Schizosaccharomyces pombe: one gene and its partners. Changing the gene in region 2 together with the main gene of any one other region gives a genetic interaction. Each region holds a gene or a part of one and is shown on either strand. Other genes may lie near its edges.

What was found.
Region 1: mutations in get1 (region 2) and xks1 together harm fitness more than expected from each alone (negative genetic interaction), as found in Schizosaccharomyces pombe (2 studies listed by BioGRID).
Region 3: mutations in get1 (region 2) and tfa2 together harm fitness more than expected from each alone (negative genetic interaction), as found in Schizosaccharomyces pombe (2 studies listed by BioGRID).
Region 4: mutations in get1 (region 2) and SPOM_SPCC306.07C together harm fitness more than expected from each alone (negative genetic interaction), as found in Schizosaccharomyces pombe (2 studies listed by BioGRID).

Annotation. Positions count from the first base shown.
Region 1 is NC_003421.2:702,285-708,754, forward strand, and holds xks1 (xylulose kinase), read right to left. Parts: upstream 4,615-6,470; 5' UTR 4,493-4,614; coding exon 3,524-4,492; exon of another isoform or gene 3,439-3,523; coding exon 2,944-3,438; exon of another isoform or gene 2,893-2,943; coding exon 2,689-2,892; 3' UTR 2,526-2,688; downstream 1-2,525. Other genes in the region: retromer complex subunit Vps5, read left to right, coding at 323-2,053; protein meu15, read left to right, coding at 6,056-6,332, 6,391-6,444.
Region 2 is NC_003423.3:4,316,276-4,321,902, reverse strand, and holds get1 (GET complex subunit Get1), read right to left. Parts: upstream 2,995-5,627; 5' UTR 2,957-2,994; coding exon 2,870-2,956; intron 2,822-2,869; coding exon 2,455-2,821; exon of another isoform or gene 2,362-2,454; coding exon 2,300-2,361; 3' UTR 1,784-2,299; downstream 1-1,783. Other genes in the region: SPOM_SPBC16C6.01C (lysine methyltransferase), read left to right, coding at 362-1,783; m-AAA protease Yta12, read right to left, coding at 3,294-5,615.
Region 3 is NC_003421.2:577,831-583,544, forward strand, and holds tfa2 (transcription factor TFIIE subunit Tfa2), read right to left. Parts: upstream 2,728-5,714; 5' UTR 2,484-2,727; coding exon 1,626-2,483; 3' UTR 1,390-1,625; downstream 1-1,389. Other genes in the region: U3 snoRNP-associated protein Utp21, read left to right, coding at 1-474; SPOM_SPCC1672.09 (triglyceride lipase-cholesterol esterase), read left to right, coding at 2,763-2,797, 2,836-3,292, 3,409-3,796, 3,842-4,365. UniProt on the Schizosaccharomyces pombe protein: Recruits TFIIH to the initiation complex and stimulates the RNA polymerase II C-terminal domain kinase and DNA-dependent ATPase activities of TFIIH. Both TFIIH and TFIIE are required for promoter clearance by RNA polymerase.
Region 4 is NC_003421.2:417,704-423,457, forward strand, and holds SPOM_SPCC306.07C (U3 snoRNP-associated Cic1/Utp30 family protein), read right to left. Parts: upstream 3,468-5,754; 5' UTR 3,433-3,467; coding exon 3,370-3,432; intron 3,310-3,369; coding exon 3,176-3,309; intron 2,997-3,175; exon of another isoform or gene 2,955-2,996; coding exon 2,297-2,954; 3' UTR 1,926-2,296; downstream 1-1,925. Other genes in the region: family protein BIG1, read right to left, coding at 773-1,616, 1,679-1,770; mdh1 (malate dehydrogenase), read right to left, coding at 4,000-5,025. UniProt on the Schizosaccharomyces pombe protein: Involved in rRNA-processing and ribosome biosynthesis.

The DNA of each region.
Region 1 (6,470 bases), on a different chromosome or scaffold from region 2:
TTAAAATTAGAAGTCTAGATTGAACAGAGCATCATTCTCAGTCCAGTTATTAGCTGTTACAATGATAAATATATTATCACCCACCACTCACAATACTGTATAACGCAATATACTGCTTCTACAAGCTAAATATAATTTAATGTAGCCTTAAAAGGAATTAGAAACTTGAATTGTTGACACTTATCTAGTTGCACCGCAAGTCACCCCGCATTGCTAAACGTATTTAACCATCGTTATTTTTCGCTAGTCGTCGTTGGGCTGCGCATCACCATTTCAGGCACGATTTCAGTGATCAGATCCAAAAACCCAACCGGCCACCATCATGCTTGGGCATAATATATATGAAGAAGACGATGCATTTAATCCATTCGCAGATTCCGTTTCTCCACTGAACCCTCCAAAAACCGACCAAGAGCCCTCAGCTGAAGGAGTGGAAGAAGAGTCGCCGAATGTTCAAGCTTCTCCACCAAAAACTCATATCTATACATCTCCTAGGAAACGAAGCGTCAATTTGAAATCTCTTCCGTTTGAAACGTTAACTTTGGATTCTGCACCTTTAGGTCCCTTGCAATTTTCTGATGCACCTTCTATGGCACCCGAAAACAACCGTTTGGAAGTTGGTTTAAATACAAAAATTAATCCGTTAAAAGGATCTAGTCCCGCTTTGAATGCAGATTTTTCTGCAAATAAGCCTTGGATCTCAGAAGTGAACTCCTTTTCCCCTTCTCCTATCGGAGCAACGGAAAATCCCACTATACCAAATTCAGAACAGACGGTAGATACTTTAGACGCTGCCTCATCTTCTGCTCCAAATTTTACACACACTGTCTCATCTGCCTCCTCCCAGAAGCAAGGTTCAACCTCATTAACAGATACGGAGAATCAGAAGGCGCACCCGGCAGCGGCACCTCAATCTCTTACCCCGTTTTACATCCAAGTTCATGACCCTCATACCGTTAAGGAAATCACTAAATCGCATACCGTATATTCGGTTTCCACTCGTTTAGAGGAACACAATCAACCTTCTGTTAGCAATGTGACTGTACAAAGACGATATAATGATTTTGCTTTTCTTTATCAATTGCTTTCTAATAATCATCCGGGTTGTATCATTCCTCCCATCCCGGAAAAGCAGGTTGTAGGCCGTTTTGATGATGAATTTATTGAACAGCGACGAGCAGCCTTGGAGGTAATGCTTCGCAAAATATCTGCCCATCCGGTTCTACGTGATGATTACTCATTTAAGTTGTTTCTTGAAGCAGAGACATTTGACCCTAGAATGACACATCGTACTACTCTCATTGAGAGTTCATCAAGTCCTTTGCGCTCAGGTCCCTCAACATCTGGTTTACTTGACTCATTCACCTCCGCCTTCCATACCTCTGGATCTTCTAAATTTTCCGAACAGGATCCAATTTTAATTGAAGCAAAGGATACACTTGATTCGTTGGAAACTCAACTAAAGTCGGTTTATCACGCGCTTCTTTTATCCATAGATCAACGCATACAGTTCGCTTCAGCCATCCATGATTTTGGCGAGGCTGTTGGAAATTTATCTTTAGTTGATTTAGAGCCCACCTTATCATCCAAGTTTGATGGTCTTTCCCAACTCCAGGTAGAGCTTCGATTTGTACAAGAACGTAAGGTTGCTCAAGACAATTTGACACTGGGCACTACATTGGAGGAGTACATTCGGTACGTGGAGAGTGCCAAAAATGCCTTTACTACACGTCAAAAGTTGTGGCAGACATGGCAATCTTCAGTTCAAGCTGTTTCTCGTGCTAAAACTCAACTTGAGAAATGTAAAAAGCAAGCGAAATCTCAGCAAAAATCACTCCCTTACTTGGAAGAACAATACGAAAAATATCGAGCAAAAGCTGCTGATCTGGAAAAAGAGTTTTCGGAATCAACAACTCTGTTAAAACGAGATTTGAGTTCTCTCACAACCAGTAGAGTTGATGATCTCAAAGCTAGTGTTGAAACGTGGTTGGAATCTGCAATTGAATCTCAAAAAGAAATTATTGAGCGTTGGGAATCATTTTTGGATCAATAACGACTCTAATTTTCCCTATGCACTCTTTTAATTTTTATGTTTTTCTTTCGTGTAATATTTCTATCCCATATTCGTATTAATGTATTTCCAACTACCGCTTTATTACTTTGCACTTCTCTAGCTGACGATTTCTATTCTATTCTAATTATTTTTTTGCAATTTCCCTTTTCGTCCATGGTACTTCATTACTTGAAAAGAAAATGTACCTTAAAATATTGCATTCTATCTACTAACCTTACAGCAACCCTACACTCCTTTGTAAATAAATAACTTGTGTATGTTTTTAAAAATTGTCTTTGTTACTCAAGCCTTTTTATATTTGTTTATGTTTAAACGCTTTTTCCTGCTTAAATTGTGTTACTTATATGTAAAAGCGTATGCAAAAATTTGTTTAATAATATGGTGTATGACTACTTTATGTTACATATTTATTTGTCTTAATTTAGACTCGTGATTCAAAGCTCTCAAAACGATAGCTCAAAAAAATGTTCATGTAGGAAACGTTTATCATTTTGTATCCTAAGGTTTATTCATATTTTTTAAAAAAAAAAGTGGATTTCGCTTTCATTAATAATCTCGTTATATCAATAGCTAATCACATAATCAAGTGCGAAATGGAAAAGCATTTAATCAATTCAATGCCGGATATCTGACTGTTGAATCGCAATGTCTTCAGCCTTTTTGAGGAAAGGTAAAAGCTTTCCATATTCTTCATAAGTTTGGGCGGATGGTTTATTCATGATTAGTTCAATTTTCTTGGACTCATCCCAAGATTTGTTTACATATTCTTCAAAGGTAAATCCTTTTCCATTCATTGCATATGCAGCCTTGATAGCGCCCTAAATTGATGGTCAGTAACTATTAATTAACAACATTTTCCGTTCACTTACGCCAACAGCACAGGCATTACTACCGCCGTGTTTTAGCCGATAAACATCACATCCCAAAACCTGGCTAATTTTAAACACAATAGCCTCGTTACGACTAGCTCCTCCTACAACATAAACACGATCAGGTTGTGGTATACCAGTTAGCAAAGGAGTAATCCGCATGCGGATATCAAGATTTTGACTTTCAACTATGGCAGAAGCATCCTCATCTGGATAATCCCATGATTCTTCATCTTTATCCACCTGATACAACTCGGTGCCTTGGATTGCAAATCTCCACGTACCCGGTCCAACTGCGGGTAAAATCTCCCTTTGTGGATAAAAAAGACCGAGCTGTTTCTTTTCACCAGCACCTTTAATGTTGGGGTTCAAAATCGATTCATTAAAGCGGTCCCAACTGGTATTGTCCGAAACATTATATTTTTCATTGATTGTGTTTCTTACCTGTTCCCGCGCTAAGCTACCGTTTTTATAGCATAACATTACCATATAATGCTAAAGTCCATGTTAGTTAGAAAACCAGAGAAAATGATGAGTTTTGAACAACTACTTCACCAAAAGAAAGTCAAGTTCAACTTACGTTCTGCGTAACAGGATGAGCAAACATGTGATACTCTGGAGAACACACATAGTTTTGAGTAGCCATTAGAGCAGTAGTACTAGTACCCAATGATAATAGTACATCTTTTCCCGGTCTTAAAGGAAGGGATAAAATAGTGGCAGGGTTATCTCCAGTTAAAGGAATGATTTGACAGTTAGGAGAAAACCCATACTTCTTAACGAAATACTTCCCAATTGGTCCTAGATGTTTTGCCCCGTTAATCTCAACCGTACCTAGTTTGTTAGCCAAGTCGGGTCCTTTAGAATTACCAGCAACTTCTTCCAACAAGCGAATATCGAATTTCTCATTCTGAATGTCCCAGAGATTCATTCCACAAACGTCACTGATGTCTAAAGGTGCCTCGGTTTGCAGAAGTACCGAGGCTAGAAAATTAGAGACAAGTGCAATTCGTTCGGTATTTTCGTATGTCTCGGGGTGCAAACGACGAAAACGCTTGATTTGGGGTCCAGTAAAGCGTAGGTGAGCTTTAGACCCAGTAAGGTCCGCTAGTGCTTTGGCTCCACCAATGCAAGATTCAAGCTCCTCGCATTCTTTGGTAGTACTGGCATCTTGCCAATTTGGAGATGTTGGATGAATGAGACTTTCCAATTGTTGTTTTAAAGAAGATTTGGCATCCAACGAATTGAGGGCTTTTTTACTTCCCTTAAGCAGGAAAACGCTTGCATGTTGCTGACCGGCACCAGATATAGCTTGTATTTTGCTAACATCCACAGAAGCCTTAAGTCTCTCAAACAGTAAATCGATGGCGTCTAGCCACATACATACTGGAGCAAAAACCTCATATCCATTCCTGTAGACCCCTTTGATAGTGTTGTAATCACTTAGATCCCGATCAAAATCGACGGCAACCTCTTGATGCACGTTCAAAGACTCATCAATGACCACGCCCTTGAGCTGCTGAGTTGAGAGATCCAAACCTAAAAACATATTCACAAAAGTCAAATCTTTAAAATGACTGTCGATATATTGTACTTAAGAAACGGAAAGAATGAATTTCGACAAAATCAAATTAACAGAAAAATCTCGTTTTAGCGCCTTCCTTAAGCTGTATTTTCCGCAGTTATATGTCTGATCAATATATATATCGTTAACCATTGACATCCAAAAGTTCTAGCCGTGACTTATGTCCGTTTTTACTTACGATTATGTTCGTAAAAATACCTTAGATACAGTTTACCGAAACCTTTTCAAACGTTAGCTTAAAAAAACTCAGAGTGTTGTTGGGGTAAGGTACCTTGTTTACTCTAGAGAAAAACAACGCGTTGGAAACACGTTTGGCAAAAAACTCTTTGAAAAAAAGTGATATTCGTTTCAAAATCGAATATCAATATAAAAAAATGGCTGAAAAGTTTGATACTGACAAGGAATAAAGCTAAAAACTCTTGTTTCAGCAACAATTGACTGAACTCTGGGAGAACACGAAAAGAAGGAGAAATGAAGTCGTTTACTTAAAAAATCGTTAAAAAGTTATTACTTCAATAAATTTAATATTTTCTTGTTTGTTAATTGTACTCAGAACTGAGCAATGGTATGTAATAAAGCAAGAAATAATACAAATCCTATATGGTTGTGGTTAGGCTTCGTTATCACAAAGATCCTGAAATATCATTTTAAGATATGCGTAATGTGCGTCCTTAATTTAAGCTTAGAGAAACGAACCACTTACTTTCGTTTTGTTAAGCTTATTTTTTTCAATGAGTAACATGTTTTTTAGCTAAAACAAAATGCTACATCTCAAAAGTATGAGGCCGAAAATATCTTTAATGAAAAAACCAGCATATTTTTTAAAATGAAGCTGTCTAAACATGAACAGTTTATACCGAAATAAATTCCTTTTCTTTTGAAGTTAGAGACCCTCAAATGTCCGAAAATAGTTGTAAGCTGGTAAATCGCTCTTATTATTTACTTTTCCAAACCTTCAATAAGCCATTTCTCGAGTATGGCACGAAATCGCTACATAAACTTTTTCGTTAATTGATCAATTGATTAAACAAATTCCAAGAGTTTTTGGAGCGAAGAATTAGTTTTCTTTTAGCAAAACATTGTCAGTTATGGTGTCGTAAAGATAGCGTAATCTTTACTTCTGAGTCTATTTTTACAAAATCAATATAGCTAAGCCAGGGGTGGCTAGACGTTTAGCTGTACGGTTTTTTTTTCTGCGTATTGTTGAGCGAATTCTATAGTATTTGTTTTGTCGTCAAGGGCATTTGTATATGCATACATAATGCCCTCAACAGTTGCTTATAAGAGGCTTACTCCTTTGTTCTTTTCCAATTTCTTTAAAACAAAAAACTTAAGTACATAAATTAGCCTTCTTTGGATCTCTTACCTCTGCAGATTGAGAAAGGTAGGTGAGAATGCTGCACGCTCAATTCACAAATTTGCGACTGTTATTTAAACAGACCTTCTTTTTTAGTTTGATTTTAGTCGCTTTTATAGTTGCCTATGTATTTCATCTTAATTTCATTCTAACAAATTAGATATTGCACAATGGAGGAAACTTTGCCCAGTTATGAAGCCGCAAGTGGTGCAGCAAACCTACAAGAGGTAAAACCACAAGTTCTTCCCTTGGAAGAGATTAAAAAAATTTATAAAATTAGTTACTGGTGGTTATGCAGCATTGCGCTCATCCAAACTTGGTGGGTACTGCTTGGTTTACTTCCAATATTCTTTGCGTTGGAACATTATGAAGTTCCCTACAAGTGGATTTTTATTATCGAGATGCTATACTACGAACTGTATCTCACTCTTTATGTTTGCTGGTGCTGTATGTTTTCCCTTTGCGTAAAACTATTAAATAAATTGCTAACCATCTAATCGTCTAGATAAACTCAGATCTGATTTTTGGAACGAAGCGGCAAAAAATCGCCCCAACGAGGGTAACTAAGCCTAACATTTTTTGTAC
Region 2 (5,627 bases):
TTGTTTATTACCCCTTTTCAATCGTATTCAATCATATTCTTATAGTAGTTTTTATATTTACGATCCATCCTGCATTGCCCTTCTGTATCGGACAGGTTGAAAACGCGTAGCGGATTAAAAATCAAGTTTGAACAGACTAATGTGCTTTATTAAACATAATTTGAGAAATTAATTATCTTCTGTTCTAAGATACGTTCAAGTTTTACTCAAAAAATCAATGTGTACATCAGAAGGTTGGAGTATTTACCTACGCTTAAAATCAAATTTGCTTTGAAAAGATATTAACTTTCAAATGTTCAAAATTGCCGGAAAGCGCATAAAAAATATTATTAACTACTTATTAAAACATGTTAAATAAAGCATGAACAATTCCAAGCAATTTTTGAAGTACCAACCCTTACTTGAATGGCTAGCAAAACACGAAGCTTACATTTCACCCAAACTGTATATCGCTTCAAGTGGGGTCGCAGGAGATGGTATATTTTCTACCTTTGATATAGATGAACTTGAAGTTTTAGCAAAGATTCCTAGAAGGATCATTCTGAGTCCTCGCAACTCAAGATTTGGAGATTCGTTGTATACACATTTTAATGAATCTAATCGGTCTGATGATATTAACTTTGACAATAGAGATCAGGTTGGGCTGGTCATGCTCGTTATAACTGTAATATTGGAAAATATAACAGATAGTCCGTGGAACGCTTATTTAAACACCTTGGACGAAACTTGTATGCCTGATTCCCCATTATTATGGAAAGATAAAACGTGTCTTGAGGGAACCTCAATGCTTGATGTAATAAATACAAATTTAAGAGTATACAAAAATCAATATGATCAATTGGTCCGCCCTTACTTTTATAAACATGCTGATCTCAAACAGCTTTGTCCAAAATGGAATCAGTATTTAGAGACTTGTGTTCTCGTCCAAAGCAGGTGTTTTTACGTTAACAGCTACTACGGTTTATCTTTAATACCCTTTTTCGATATTTTTAATCACAAGTCTGGTCCAGCTATTGCTTCGCTACATTGTCAGGAGTCAAATGATCATAAAGGCGATATCAAAATAGAATTTATTTCTTTTCAGTATATACGAAAGATGTCCGAAATATTCAACTCCTTCGGAAACTTTGCCGCTGATGAATTGTTCACGCAGTATGGATTTATTGATACCGCTTGCAAAGTTTGGCGCGTCGACATGACAATGATTGCTTATGAAACTAACAGAAATTTTTATATGGAGTGGATTCATAAAAAAAGAATAATCAACACCCAGGAGTTGCTGGTCACCCCAACTACATACGCAAATGACAAGTCTGAGACTTTACGTTCAGTAATGATAAGACAACCTATGGATCTTTATATAATAACAGATCATGGTCCCAGTTACGGGCTTTACTTATATTTATTTTTTTGCATTTACAAAATCAAATTCCAAAAGTGCGATATGAATATAGTAATGCTTACAAAGTATTTTAATGAAATCTGGGCTGTGTTTATAGCACATAAGGAGGGAGAAAAAGAAAAGGTTGTTGCTCAACTCTCTGGTTTTTCTTTTTATTGTAAGGCTATAGAATTTCTACAGATGCTGTGTCAAAAGCGCATTAGTCGTTTCAAAAATGGTGGGTTGACTGCTGAAGCTTATAAGACTCTATTGTGCGATCCGACTCTTAAACGAGAGAATAGGTCTCGTTTAGTCTTACAAATTTTTTATCATGAACTTAATTTACTCGAAAAATCAATGCAAGAAACAATTTATCTTTGTACTGAAAATTTTGAAGATTAAAAAAACAACATACAACGGTTGGAAATGTTGCATAAAAGGAAAAGGTAAGATCGAAGTTCAGCTTAAATTTTAATCATAATTTTGTGCCCTTCTTAATTAACATTGTAGTAACTTTATGATGTTTTCCAAAACCCTGCATCGTTCCCTTTCTAGATGTCCTGTGTAATAAATAACCTATTTGCCATTTCAAACTTTCGGTATAAACAGCATCAGAAATATGAAAGCGTCAAATTAAGCAAATGAATTAGTAGGCATAGAAATAAGAAATCCGATGACAATTTAGATGAAAACCAGTGTAGAGCACATAAAGTGTACAATTTGTGAAGGAATAACATAATATTAATCGTGCATGGTAAACTATGCTTTCCATGGCATTCTTTCTTATGAGAAAAGGAAGTAGAAAACGCATTTATAAAATGACTTTACTGAAAATACATATGGCATCTTTTTCCCTTTAGTTAATTAAACTAAATGATAAAATATTAAAATTAGTCACCGTCTTTGATGATTTGGAGATCAAAATATCCCGGAAATAGTTTTTTGAACCGCAAAATTCCAAACTGTTAAGCTAACCGATCCTACATGCCATGTTAGTATTTCAGCTGCCATTGTGATAAATGAAAATAAAAATAAAAAAAAGATTTTCAGAATTTTCATTAAAAACAACATACCGTAGATTGATCGTGGAAGAGATAGCACCCATAGAGCCCAAGAAGGAAGCAAGAATGCAGGGAGGAAAAAGACAGGTGTTTTGGACTCTTTGAATTGAATATAAAACCGGAATCCACGGGTTAAAATCCAAAGAAAAAGGCTTAAAACCCGCTTGAAAGTATCTTGGAAAATTTTAACATTGGCTGATTGTTTTTCCCACTCTTGACTGAGTTGTTCATACTTTCTATTCAGACGGGCCCATTTAGCAAACTGATCTTGACTGCTAGTAGCGTTTAGCTCTTTCTTAACAGTAAGCAGCTGCTCTAAAATTTCTTTGTTCTTCTTTAAATCTTTATTATTAGAAACACTAACGTAAATTCGATAAGCCTTTCACATTATTAGTTTTCTTTACAACAAGTATATATGTTAAATTACCCCATCAATAGTCCTTTTTTTTGCAAATTTATCGAAGAAATGAATAAATAAGCTTAATAAAATTGTTGAAATAATCAGATCCATCATAAAATATGGACTTGTAAGAAAGTACAGTGGTTAGTGTCAAACGTGTAACTGTTGAGTATCACGCTCCCTATGACATGCTGGTCTAAAGGTCGAAACTAAACACAAGTTTGTTTGTTACGATATTAGCTATTTTGTGTTAGAAAATAATAATCTATTAACCTTTTAAAGTTCAGAAGAATTGATGTTAAGTATATTTATCTAGCTTCTGTAATATTAAATAGAAAAAATAGATAAAATAGCTATATGATATTCAATTGACAAATACTTTGATCATGAGATCCATGAAAGTAACTATTTTCATTCATAACGCTTTATTTAAATTCAGTAAATTGACAAATTAGGCAGAAGGTTGTTGAGGAGATGGGGGGATTGGTGGATTTCGAGGATCGTGATCATTTTTATACTCAGACTGACGCATAAGTTCAGAAATATTTAAATGTTTGTATGCATATGGCCTTGGTCCAAGAATCGTCTCAACTTCGTTATAAGTGATGACTTCTTTCTGTAATAGACGTTGAGCAATATTTTCTAAGCCTTGCTTATGTTCTAGCAAAAGTTTCTTAGTTCTTTCGTATGCATGCTTTACAAGCTTTCGAATTTCTTCATCAATCATTTGAGCTGTAGCCTCAGAAAATGGTTTTTGAACAGTTTCCCGAGTGTCGATGGGATAAGCTATAGTACCAACAGTCGGAGACATACCATATTGGGTCACATACGCTTGAGCCATGCGCGTTACTTTTTGAAAATCATCGGAAGCTCCCGAAGTAATCTTTTCTGGTCCAAAAAATATTTCTTCAGAAACACGCCCAGCCAAAGCCATTCCCATTTGATCTAAAATCTGCCCTCGACTCATCAGATACTGATCTTTGGGTAAATAACTAGCATAGCCAAGGGCTTGAGCTCTAGGAATGATTGAGACCTTCAATAGTGGATCGACGTACTCCATAAACCAACCAGCTACCGCATGTCCAGCTTCATGATGAGCAACGGTGTTTTTTTCTTCAGGACTTAGTACCCTACTCTTCTTTTCCAAACCTGCCGTGACTCTTTCAATAGCTTGCTCAAAATGTACCATTTGGACTTCATTACTATTTGATCGTGCTGCAATTAACGCTCCTTCATTACATACATTCATTATATCAGCTCCTGTAAAACCAGAAGTTAGGACGGCAAGACGCTTGGCAATTAAGTCGATGTTATCGGCTGCCTTAATATGCTTAAGGTGGACCTTAAATATTTGTTCACGACCGCCAATATCAGGACGATCAATCGTAATTTGACGATCGAATCGACCAGGACGTAGAAGTGCCGGGTCCAATACGTCTGGTCGATTAGTACCAGCGAATACGACGATATGTTCGCTAGACGTAAAACCGTCCATTTCAACTAATAGCTGATTAAGAGTGCTTTCGCGTTCATCATTGGAACCAAATTGTCCTCCACGTCCTCTTGCTTTACCAATTGCATCAATTTCATCTATGAAAATAATACAAGGAGCGTTCTTGCGAGCAGTAGCAAAAAGATCTCTTACGCGGGAAGGTCCAACACCAACAAACATTTCAAGAAACTCAGAACCTGACACACTTAAAAAAGGGACGTTAGCTTCACCAGCGGTGGCTTTAGCAAGAAGAGTTTTACCGGTACCAGGAGGACCAGAAAGAATGGCACCACGAGGAATTTTAGCCCCCAACCTTTCATAAAACTTGGGATTTTTTAAAAATTTGACGAATTCCATAATCTCTTCTTTAGCCTCGTCAACGCCAGCGACATCAGCAAATTTTATTTTGATATCAGTTTCATGATTAAACATCTTCGCTCGGCTCTTACCAATTCCAAAAATGCCACCTTGACCACCTCCTGCGGCACCCGAAGCCCGTCGCGATAAATAAATGACACTTCCAATGATCAGTAAGGTGGGAGCAAAAGACAATAAAGTAGCAAGAACAGAGACTTCGTCATGATAAGCGACAGGGACAAATTCAGAAGGTGGAATACCCAGTTGACGTTGTGCATCCTCTAGTTTTCGATCGAAAGAGTCGATGGAACCAATTGAAAAATAGTACTGCCCTGAACCTGAAGCTACACCGCCTCTCAAAATAACTCTAACCATATTGCGGTTAACAACAACTAGCCGTTCAACTAAACCCTTGTCTAAAAACTGTTGTCGAAAATCTTGCCAAGTAATTTCTTGCATATTTGCATTAGGCGAGAGAACATTGTAAAGGATATAGGCAACTAAAATTCCACCTAAAATAGTGTTGCCATTTAAGGCTATTTCAAAAACTTTTTTCGGATCATTGCCATTCAATCCCTTCTTTTTTGAATCATCATTTTTCTGGCCATTTTTCCTACCATTAGCATCAGAATTGGATCCTGAAGACCCATTTTGCGATCTTTTTGAGGTTACGCTAAATTGTTTAGATGAAATGAGAGGGATTTTATGTTTTTCCGGTATTCCTTTATTTATTTTAAGGGACTGAAAAGATCTCTGAGAAAGTGAGAGAAGAGAAAATTGTGAAACAGCTGTGGAACGTGTAGAAAAAGTATAAGCCCTTGCCAAACGCAAAGAAGAAAAATTATCCTTCTTTACGAATTTAGAAACCAGGTAATCTCCTGTTTTCCTAGTAGGTGCCCTAAACGTCAAAAAGGGATTTCGCATAAGGAATATTAT
Region 3 (5,714 bases), on a different chromosome or scaffold from region 2:
CCTTCCTTAAAGGATCAATCAGAAGCGACAGTGCCCAAGCAGCCTATAGCAACTGAGATTTCAAAGCCGACTGCTGTTGCCTCCATAAAAGTATCCGGCACCGAGTTTTCTACTTTATTACATGGAAACGATGATGATGCGTTTTTCGAGTACTTAAAATCCCTCGGGCCAGCAAAGATCGATTTGGAGATTCGGTCATTGGATGCATACCCGCCTTATGAAGAATTTATATTATTTATCAATATTATGACACGAAGGCTTTCTAAAAGAAGAGATTTCGAGCTCGTCCAAGCTTGTATGTCCGTCTTTACGAAGTCACACGAGGACGTATTACTAATGCATGATACTCCCGAAGATACGGTACCTGTTTTTGAAAGTTTGAAGGCATGGGAAAGTGTTCATAAAGAAGAAAATCAGCGTCTTTTAGATTTGGTGGGCTACTGTTCGGGTATTTTGAGCTTTATGCGTACTTAATACATCTGCGTAAAAAAGTGGTAAATGTACAAAACAGGAGCAGAAAAAAAAGCAAATTAGGATGGGAAATTGTTAAAGTTTTAGGGGATATGTCATTGCTTACATTGGCTGTGTTCAAAAGGTTTTATTTCATTAGTAATTTTTGGGTAAAAAAATAAATATCTTTTAATGGTAAATGACAAAAATTGAAGGCACTATATAGTTAAAAAATCATAGAGATTGTAGCGTGCAGAAAGTAATGAAGCACATATGGAAATTCTGCAAAACCTTGGATTCCTTTCTTAATAATTTATAACAGTTGTAAGCTGAGACTCAAAATGCTCGGGTGTTTCAATTTTATTGTCTCGAAAATGCAAACGTATTTAAAGGAAAGCACTGAAGTGACCAACATCGATCTTCTATTTAGTCATGCACTCTGCTTTCTTATATTTACGAATTACCATATATTTCTACATCTTTTAGAGTTAGCAGTATAGGATAAAAATGGTGATAAATTATAAATTTATATATAAAATATACATAATATAACGTTCTACTAACTAGCTCCCGTGGCCTAATGGCTAGGGCATTTGACTTCTAATCAAGGGATTGCGGGTTCGAGTCCCGCCGGGAGCTAATATTAATTTATTTTTTCGTTACAAAAATGCATGCTAATGAAATCAATTTATTAGCATGAGTGAAGAAATACGTTTTTTTTCCTTTCCACAAAACATTCACCTACATAAACACACCTTTCAATACATAACTGATCTTTCTATTTCGACAATGCACAAAAGGGAAAGATAAGAATTTCTGTTTAAACTAAATGTAATTGTCTACTTAGTCACTGTATACTAGTGCAAATTAACTACAGAGCAATAAATGCACTTGTCAACAATACCGACTAATTGTCAGCTAATATAGGTTTAACAGTTTATGTAAAAAATCATCATCATTAAACAATAGAGTTTTCTTCCATAGTTGCAAATAGATTAGAAGAAACAAAGAGGAAATATGTCCAGTCCATGCAAATCTTGGAAAAAGGAATGTAAGATAGATAGCTATTTTTTCAAACACATCCAGTACCAGACAACAACACAGTAACCGGATGAAATTAAATACCAAAAGCAACACAGTTTTTAGTTAAAAAATATGGGATCCTTAATATGATTTCAAGGTTTCATGGAGCTATAATCACGAAGAATGTTAAGGTGTGTATTCGTAATCTTTCCACGTCGAGTTTTGGGCTTCTTTTGTTTAGGCGTTTGATTATGACCAGCACGCTTTACGGTTGAAGGATCCACGCTAGTGGGCTTTAAACCGTATTTTCCAAGTTCAGAAGCTAAATCCAAAGTGGGTGGAATGGGAATCTCATGCCAAACTTGTTGAAACTCCTTATCGACATGACAATCGCAGCTCTTGTCATTTCTCCATACCATTTTAGGAACGCCATCCTTCCTTGTACGTAATAAAAGCACTTCTCCCTGTTTTTCTAGTTCTTCAAGTTCAACAGTAACGTTGGGCCATCCGTCTCGAAGCTCTTTGATACTCATACCAACGTGGGTTTTTTGTGAATCTAAATATGCTAATAAACCTGCTCCTGAGCGAATGTTATGCAATGGCTTAAAGGTAAACGTTTCATTTCTTTCATCATAATAAATGCGATTATTTTTCTTCAAAAGATTGAGTAACATAGGAGTCAATGGAGTTGACAGGTAAGAAGCAATTTCCTCAGCCGTTTTAGGCTCATTTCTCTCTTTTAAATACTCAACTGCATAGTGTAGCTGTGATAAATAATGCGTTCCAACACCAGAATCAGCGGGTTGCGAGTAAACCAAAGACGTCTTTGAGCGCTTTTTCTTCAGGGAATACGACCCTGGACTTGAAGCGGCAGAAGAATGTCCATCATTTGAATTCAAATAAGCTGTTGGAGTCGGAGAAGCTGGTTGACGAGGTTGAGGTTTTGCATAAATAGGTTGATTTGCGACTTTCTTTTTAAACGAAGATAATTGATCGCTTAGTGAACTCATAGCCTTAAAAGTAGTTGTTAGCTTGTCGGAAATGAAACTATCAAACGGTGGGCAAATTCTGTTCAAAATTATGACCCAAGGCTTTGTTAACAAAATCGAACTTATAGACCGACAACCTTGTAAAAAAATAGAAAACAAACAAAATATTTATCTCTGTTTGCAAAATACTAAAATAAATTTAAAAGGCTATTGCTTTTAAACCAATTTCAAAAGTCCCCCCAAAAATAGTTGTTTGGCAGAGGGCAAGGTTTAGTACCTCCATTCCACGCAATATGCGAAATGATTCAGTTACCGTTTATTCAGCGTCTAAAATGGTATGCAAATCTTTTAATATATTAACTGACAAATAAAGGGAAGAGTATATGGCCCTATTTTTGGGGTTTTTCTTTGTAATCTTTGAAAAATTACTTTCATGCCTGGCCTTCATGATTCACAATACGCTAGGCTTGTTTTATCGATCAGTAGTTCGAAATGAGATTAAAAAACGTTCAAAGAAAAGATCAAGGTCGAGAAGCGTTAGCCTTCAAAGGGCAAAGGCAATTCACGATGCAGCTGACATACGAGAAATGTGCAAAATTTCTGGGTATTATGTTGAGGACCATCTCGTTAGAACAGAGGATGATTACATACTTTGTATTCATAGGATATCGAAGGATTCCCCTGGAAGAATTGGTTCTCCTCATCCCAAAAAGCTTCCGGTCGTTTACTGTCATCACGGTCTTTTGATGAATTCGGAAGTCTGGGTTTGTAATGTAGACCCCAGAAATTGCCTAGTATTTGATCTCGTAAATAAAGGATACGATGTTTGGGTAAGTATTTTGCTGCGTTCAATTTATCATATTTTAAATAATTAGTTACTGGTAAAGTTAATATGGTTTTCGTTCGAGTTTTCTTTTTTAAAAATTATTTACTAATTGTGCTTAAGCTCGGAAATAATCGAGGAAATAAATACAGTCGTCAACATCTTCGCTTCGACTCTACTGACAAGGAATTTTGGGACTTTAGCATTGACGATTTTGCTCAATACGATATTCCCGATACCATTGACTATATTCTAAAAACTTCTGGGCAAACAAAGCTCACTTATATAGGATTTTCTCAGGGCACTGCTCAAGCTTTTGCTTCTTTGAGTATCCATCCCCTGTTGAATGACAAAATCAACTCTTTGATAGCGTTAGCACCTGCAATTAGTCCAAAAGGTTTACATAACAGAGTTGTAGATGCCTTTGTAAAAGCCAGACCTTCCATATTATTTTTCCTTTTCGGACGAAAATCTATTTTGCCGTCTGCCGGATTCTGGCAAAGCTTTTTAGGTACGGTTTTTTTCTTTTAATAATTTCACTGACATTTTTATCCAGCTCCAAAATTTTTTGATGCAGTCCTTGCATACTGTTTGTCTCAGTTATTTAACTGGTCTTGCCAAAACATTTCTTCCTATCAACGCTTGGTTTCATTCGCCCATTTGTATTCATATACTAGTGTAAAGTGCCTTGTGCATTGGTTTCAAATCATGAGAAGCGCAGAATTTAGAATGTATGATAATGACCAGCTTGGTCATGACTATTTCCTCAAATATTACAAAGCTGCCAAATTCCCTACAAATAATATTCGCACCCCTATTTATCTTATTTGGGGAGGCAGCGACTCACTCGTTGATATCCAAGCGATGTTGAATGCTTTGCCTGCGGAGGTGGAGCATGTTAAGGTTGATAGCTATGAACACTTGGACATGATTTGGGCAGACACAGTTAAAGATTATGTTATACCTCCTGTACTACGAAGGCTTCGTGACATTCACCATCCACCAGAGCATGAGGAGAATGATAAAGAAAATCGTGAAATCCAAAAAAATCATATCGCTCCTAGGAATAAACCAATTTAATTTGATTGAATTGAAAGACTTTGCCTCAACACATCTTTTGTATATTTATTATTAGTTAATGTTTTCTACGTTACTATTTTATTATTGCTAGATATCGAATCCCTGATGTTATCCGTTTGTTCAAAAAAAAGAGAGAAAAAGTTTCCTAAAGGCTAAATTTTGCCTTTTTTTACTGATGACCTGTTTGTTCTCAGTTTTGTGATTATTTACGCTTATGCACACCGAAAATTTCATCTTTGAATACTTTGAAGTGTTTGTATTTTTTACTGTCATTAACAAAACCGCATTTGAAGTAGCAGGTTAATAATAATGACTGTTAAGACTGCGGTTCATAAAATTTAATTATTTTGCTTATTGTTTTTTTCAATTTCTTCTGTGCCCCGATTAATTAAGGTGTATCCGACAACCAAGGTTTGGATGCTCGATTATGTAGGCAACACAAAAATTTACATGATATGGATAGATCTTTCATAGAAATACCTCTAAATTTTGATGAATTTACTTTAGCAAGAAAAAAAAAGAATGCAATGTTAAAAACTGTTACAATAATTATAAATATACAATGGGTACCAGAAGTCGCTATGAAAACATCTGAAGTAATAAGATTACGATCAACAACTCAAAACGTGCAAATATACTCCAATTATACTAAATTCCTCTCTTATAATTGATATACTGATATTAATTGCCTCCTCAAAATACTTAGCAAACGCAAGCATTATTCCAAAAAAAAGTCGAGACGAATAACGAGCTAGACCACTGTTGGCATGCATTTTAAGGCAATGCGGTATACAAATTCCTCAGTATATCAAAATAAATAACATTAGAAAGAAAGTACTCATCTGGGAATTTTTTTTTTTTAATTCACAACTATATTTAATAAATATTTTAAATTAAAATCAGTAAATTGCTATGATGAGGTTAAAAGAAATAAGAGACACGATTTGAATTGTACTGTTATCGAATAATTTATCAAGTTAGCATGTTAAAGTTTCCACGACAAGTACCCAAAAGTCTGACTACGTGCTATTAAAGCTAGCTAATCATATAAATTAAAATCAGCCAAAACTCATAGTCATTTCACAAGTTTCTCTTTTCAGCCATTGTTTACATATGAAATTTTACTTAGTCTCCAGAACATCGTTTCTAATACCCTAACCTAAGGTAAAAACCGTCACAACAAATTTACTATATATAGGGTCTGTTCAGTTGATGATTCACCATCATCAGTAGGTTTTAACTTACTTTGTTATATAAGTAAAGTAAAATCAATCCTGAAGTCAAGTATGATGGTTGGAGTCTCCGGACCAAGAAAATGCATCCGTTCCGTCTTCAGCGAAGAATTGAGT
Region 4 (5,754 bases), on a different chromosome or scaffold from region 2:
CAGTGACAAGTAACAATTTTGAGTAACAAAGATCTCAAGTAAGAGAGATCTGAAATGAATAAATATTTACAATCACTTTTATATGTGAATTTGACCTTTCTAAATTATAGAAATATACTCAAAACTTTTCTGCATCCATATTACTCTTATTGTTAAGGTATATTGTGCTTTGATCACTTGAAGATGCATGCCATAAGTAATGACAATGTTAACTAATAACGAAAATATCCAAGGAAAAAACTCTCGCAAACACTCATTCTACGAAACAATCAGCCACGAAGAAATTGCTTTAAATAATTAAGGAAATTTCATAATTGAGTCTGTATGCCTAAAGTGGTTTCTCTAGTTTATTCAAAGTATAGCAAATTCATCTACTATTTTTAAAACCGCAAAACAAAAATATTAATTGAATAGAATACAAAAAGCAAAACAAAGTTATGCTGACTACATGATGCCAACAACTTTCACCTTCCGTAGAGAATCATCATAAAGAAAAAACAATATTATGGTTATAAAGTTTGTCTCATCACAAGAAATAAATTCTTCAGTCCAAAAAACTATTTAATAGACTTCAATATATTAAAAAACAAAGATCATTCTAACCATTTGGACACCTAAGGAATTGCGCTGAAAGGTAAAAATGTCACCAAACTATACTTATCAAGAACCATTTATGACAATAATTTTCTTCTAAATTAAGTGTGAGATGTATCAATTATGAAAGAAAGAAATAAATTGAAACTTCTTCAGCTTATTCACCTTAAGAAGAGGTTTATAACTGTTTGCGTCGAGGACTATCAAAAGCGTGATAGCTGATTTGAATAGAGGAAAGTAAACGGCAAGAAATAAACAAAGTTGGAACCAATACAGCCAATGCCAAATAACCCATGTACAAACCAGGAGTAAAAAATTGATATTCGGTAAACAGTCCCGTCGCACCATTGTCGGTGACAGGGTGCTTCCTTGTTTGGTGCATAGCAAGCGTGGTTTGTGATCCCTCATTTTGATCAGGTAAAGAAGCCAATTGGCCGTGTTGAAGAGCACTCTTCCCTGAGTTGAGACCACCTAGCGTTTGAATTACAAATTCAGCATTGGCCTCTTCTTCGTTAGCATCAACCTTAAATCCTTCAAAATCTGAGTTATTCAAAGGAGAAGAGGCTATAATTACATTCCACTGAGCATCTTGTTCCAAGGTAGATTGTAAGTTGTAGAACATTTCATCCAATTCCATTAATTGTGCACTTCTATGATAACTTTCATTTGACAGTTCATTCATGTAAACAACAGTTATGCGATCATTTTGAAGAGGAGGAAAAGCATTAAAGGATCCACCCAAGTAAACTACCTCAACGTCGCAGTTTTGCTTTGCCGAATGCACCAACTCTTGTGAGTCCAAAGACTCCTTGGAATAAGGAAGAAGTAAGCTATAGGGTGATTGCAAAGAAACACGCTTTAAATGTTTAAAAGCTCCCAACTGAAAATCATTAACCTCAAGGCCTGGTTGATGTATAATTAAGGTAGCTGTATTGCATGTCGAAAGTGCCTCAATTGCGGCGTCAAAAAACATCATAGGGCAAGTGGATATTGAAGAATCATCGGATGATTTGGGGAGTTTGCTGTTTTTAGTTAGATTAAATAATTTACACAGTATAATGCCATCGATGGATGCAGGACATACGAGTTCGTAGAAAATAAGAAAATCGGCGAAGTATCTTTAAATGCTGATACTAAAGAAAAGCAAACTATAAATAAAATACTCCAAGAAAACATTTTGACACTAAATTTTCTTTACTTTGGACAAGTTTGGATGTTGTCAATTGCTTGAGCGTTGGAGTGGTAGAGAATAGCTCTATATACTACTTTCAGTATCTAAAGGTACTAAAATCCTTCTGAATGAACAAGCTACATATAAGCAGATAGATTATGTAAATATAACATGTTATTTACGAGAAAAAAATAATACTACAAAACACAAGACGGTGTAGATTTTGTTCCAAAATCATGACAATAGTCCATGACACTTGTTATACACAAAAACCCTTATTTATTACTCAGTCCAAAATACCCGTTTATAAAAGACGTGCCCTTGTAAATCCCTTTTGCTTTCAGCCACTCAAAGCTTTTTCACATAACTAATTAACATCGAAGGAAAGAAATGTATCAGAAATTTGAAACAGGCAAAGTCAAATGGTGTTTATAAATACATTGTCAAAACTCTTTCTTCTAGCCTTAGTAGAAAAATGGTAATTATTTTAAAATACTTTTTTTTTTCAATTTAGGAAAGCGAAAGTCAGTTTCACTTATTCCCTTTGCCTTCTCCAGAAGAACCCCGTTTTTGAGCACGCAGTTCACTTTTCTTAAGAGGTCTTGCATCTTGAATGTGCACAATGTGTCTTTTATGAGCAGCAAGATTGGTGTCACTAGTCCAAATTGGCAGAGAGGCACTGTCAGCTGTTTTAATCGCAACATTATCAATTGCAGACCACCCTTTCGGAATGAAATTAGTTAGCAGACACTTCAATACAGTCGTAATATTCTCCAACAATTGTTCATTGGTTTGAGTGGCCAAACCACAGAGAATGGTATGACTAGTGCCGGCAGATAACTTAAGATAAGTAGAATGAAGACAACGAGCAACTTGATTACGCAAAGTCTCTTTCTTTTGTAAAACAGAAATAGGAAATGGCTTAATTTTTTTCTGTTCAAAAACTTTCCCCATCAATAGGGGGATGTATTTTAATACACGATCATCAACCAAAAAAAGGTTGTGAGAGTCTCGTAGCTCACATTTTTCTCGGATTGTTTTATACTTTAATTTCAATCTCGGGATGCTAAGTACTTTTGTAATGACTTCGTCAAGCCCTTGTTGCTCCACCAGATCTTGATATGTCTGCTGTGAATCTTTCACAATCAAACAAGCATCTGTTACATGCATTATCCTGTGCGGAAGGAATCTGTAAAATAGTTAGTACCTTATAATTTTAATGAAGAACACGCATCGATTCTATGAATGTTACAACAAGCTTGATTTATTAGCAAATCAACAAAACCGTAATACCTCTTTATTTCTGCACAAGCAGTAGAAGCTTAAGGTTTTAAGTAATTATAAGAACAAAAATTTTATTGTTGATCTTATTACTTCAGGAAACTTAATTCATCATTAATGCTCACTTACACTTTTGATGGTCTTCTAAGCGACTCTTTCTCAACGGGTTGGAATGTATTAACCTGAATATAAACCTTTTCTTTTTCAATAGGTTTATCAGAGGATCGAATGTGCTGCAGCAGGGCTCTAATTGTTTTCTCTAGCTATTGATTATTTGTAAGTAAATTGCACGATAATTTGAAATTAAAAAAAAAATTTCTTACTAATTTTATGTCAATTTTATCCAATGACTTTAAATTTTTCTTTTTTTCACTTGTAATCGCCATTTCTATTAAGATGTAAGTAATGGATGGCTTTTTGCAAGTTCAACTTGGGTTGGTCAGAGAAGTTAATATTACAATGCTATTGAAAGTTCTGTAGCATATCATTATCAAAGTTTAGTTTGTAAAGAATTAATCAAAGAACAATTGTTCTGTCTTATATGCCATGGCCTTATTAAATTGATGGCTTTGAAACGATACTAGATAAATAAGGCCAACAACTCAAGAACCGCAAATGTCGAATGAATGGAAAACTTATTATCTATTACTTGTTTAACAATTTTCTTTTAGTGGTTATTGTAAATTTGAATCATCGCTTTTCGCAAAACTCCGCATATTGAAAACCCTCATCTATTCGACTGTAAAAACGGAATTCAATAGATATGAAATTTCTATACAACCGCACATATAAAAGGAAACCTTGTAACATAATTTTTACATTCATACCTACACTATGAATGCAGTATACAGATTACTTTTTGACTAAAGTAAAAGAAATAACACACACGAAAGAAGCAAGAGAAAACAAACATTCATAAAGAATATCATATCATTTCTGTTATTCATAAAAGATTATGCTACAAATTGCTCACCCTTCGTAATGCTCTTTTTCAGCTCACCCAAAGCTACCTTAAGAAGGCTCTCCTCATAATCATTGATTTTACCAACAGGGTGAATGGTGTCAACCCCATCCTTACCCAAAGTTACACGAGAGGCAAAGAAATCAATTCCTTGATCCTTGTACAGAGGGGACTCCACAAAGGTGCATTCCTCAACGCCAGACTCACCAGCCAAAGCACGGAGTACGGAGGAGGCCATACGAGCACCGGCATAGGCCATAGACAAGGTCGCACTTCCAGCACCAGCCTTCGCCTTTACAACCTCATCACCACCAAATTGGATACGGTGAATAAGTGCGTCACGCTTTTCACCAGTCAATTCAACACCGCCTTGGGACAACAAAGGTACGATGGTCGCACCGGAATGACCGCCAACAACAGGAATATGAAGAAGTTCTGCCTTGCCATTAGTGACTTGAGAGGTGAAACGGCTGGCACGAACAGAGTCAAGTGTGGTGACACCAAACAAATGTTTGGGTTGATGAACGCCAACACGTTCTAAAGCCTTTTTAAAGATGGGCACAGTAGAGTTTACGGGGTTAGTGACAACGAGATATTTGGCTTCGGGACAAGTTTCACCTGCTGCAAAAGCAAGGTCCCGCACAATCGATGCGTTAGTAGCAAAGAGATCATCACGAGTCATTCCGGGCTTACGGGGAACACCAGCAGGAATAATGACCACATCAGCACCGTTCAAGGCTTTTTCAAGTCCCTTGTCATCAGGAGCATAGCCAACAACATTGGAAGTGGTATTGATATGTCCAATATCGGCAGCAACGCCAGGAGCTCCCCTAATATCGAACAAGGCCAATTCACTAACCTTATCGTTCAGTTTTAAAAGCATTGACAAAGGCTGGCCAATACCTCCTCCAGCACCCAAAACGGCTACTTTGAATGCGCGACTGGAGGTCGTAGAAAAAGAACGGGGAGCGATACTCTTAAGGGGAGTAAAGTTTTTGAAAGCTACTTTGGCAAACATCTTTGAAAGGTACAAATTCGCAAAGCAAAGTAGAGAACACGGGTATTTAAAAAAAATAGAGAGAGTGTGTGTGAGACAGAGAGGGGGGTAAAAGAAATTTCAATAGAAAATGTCCAGTTGAAAGGTTGATTCTTCTTTTCTTCAGAAGATACTAGACACTATATCAAAAGTTAGAAAAATTTGTTGAAAATAAAATATGTATATATATGCAAACATGAGTAGCCGCATCCTACACCATAACGTTTATACGGACTGACTAGCAAAGCAAAGCTACTCGACATCCTGGTTACAAACAAACTCCTCATGCCGATTCTAAGCATAAAAAAGCATATGCGTATAGCATCTCTTATAAAATATTCCTTCAGAAAGTCCTGTACCTAGTGACCTCGGAGAAACGGGTACGGTACATAAAGACTGGCGTAGCTGTTTATGTCAAGACTTTTTTCCAAAAAAAATATCGACTTTCGTGTGTATAAAAAGGTCTCAAGAGTAGTATTTACGTCGGTTTATTCATTTTTAAAATATTTTTTCTGGCAAATTGGGATGTAACTTGATCGTTTTGCATACTCACTTTTACTTACCTTAAACTTAACAAGTTCGAGGTACGCTTTTGGAAGTCGTTTTAGATACTTTTAGGCAAGGTCCCGAGCTTTGTTGATTATACGTTGACTATTTGGAAGATATGTTGAAGTTGAGAATCACACAGTGAGTTGGTACAGTATATATACG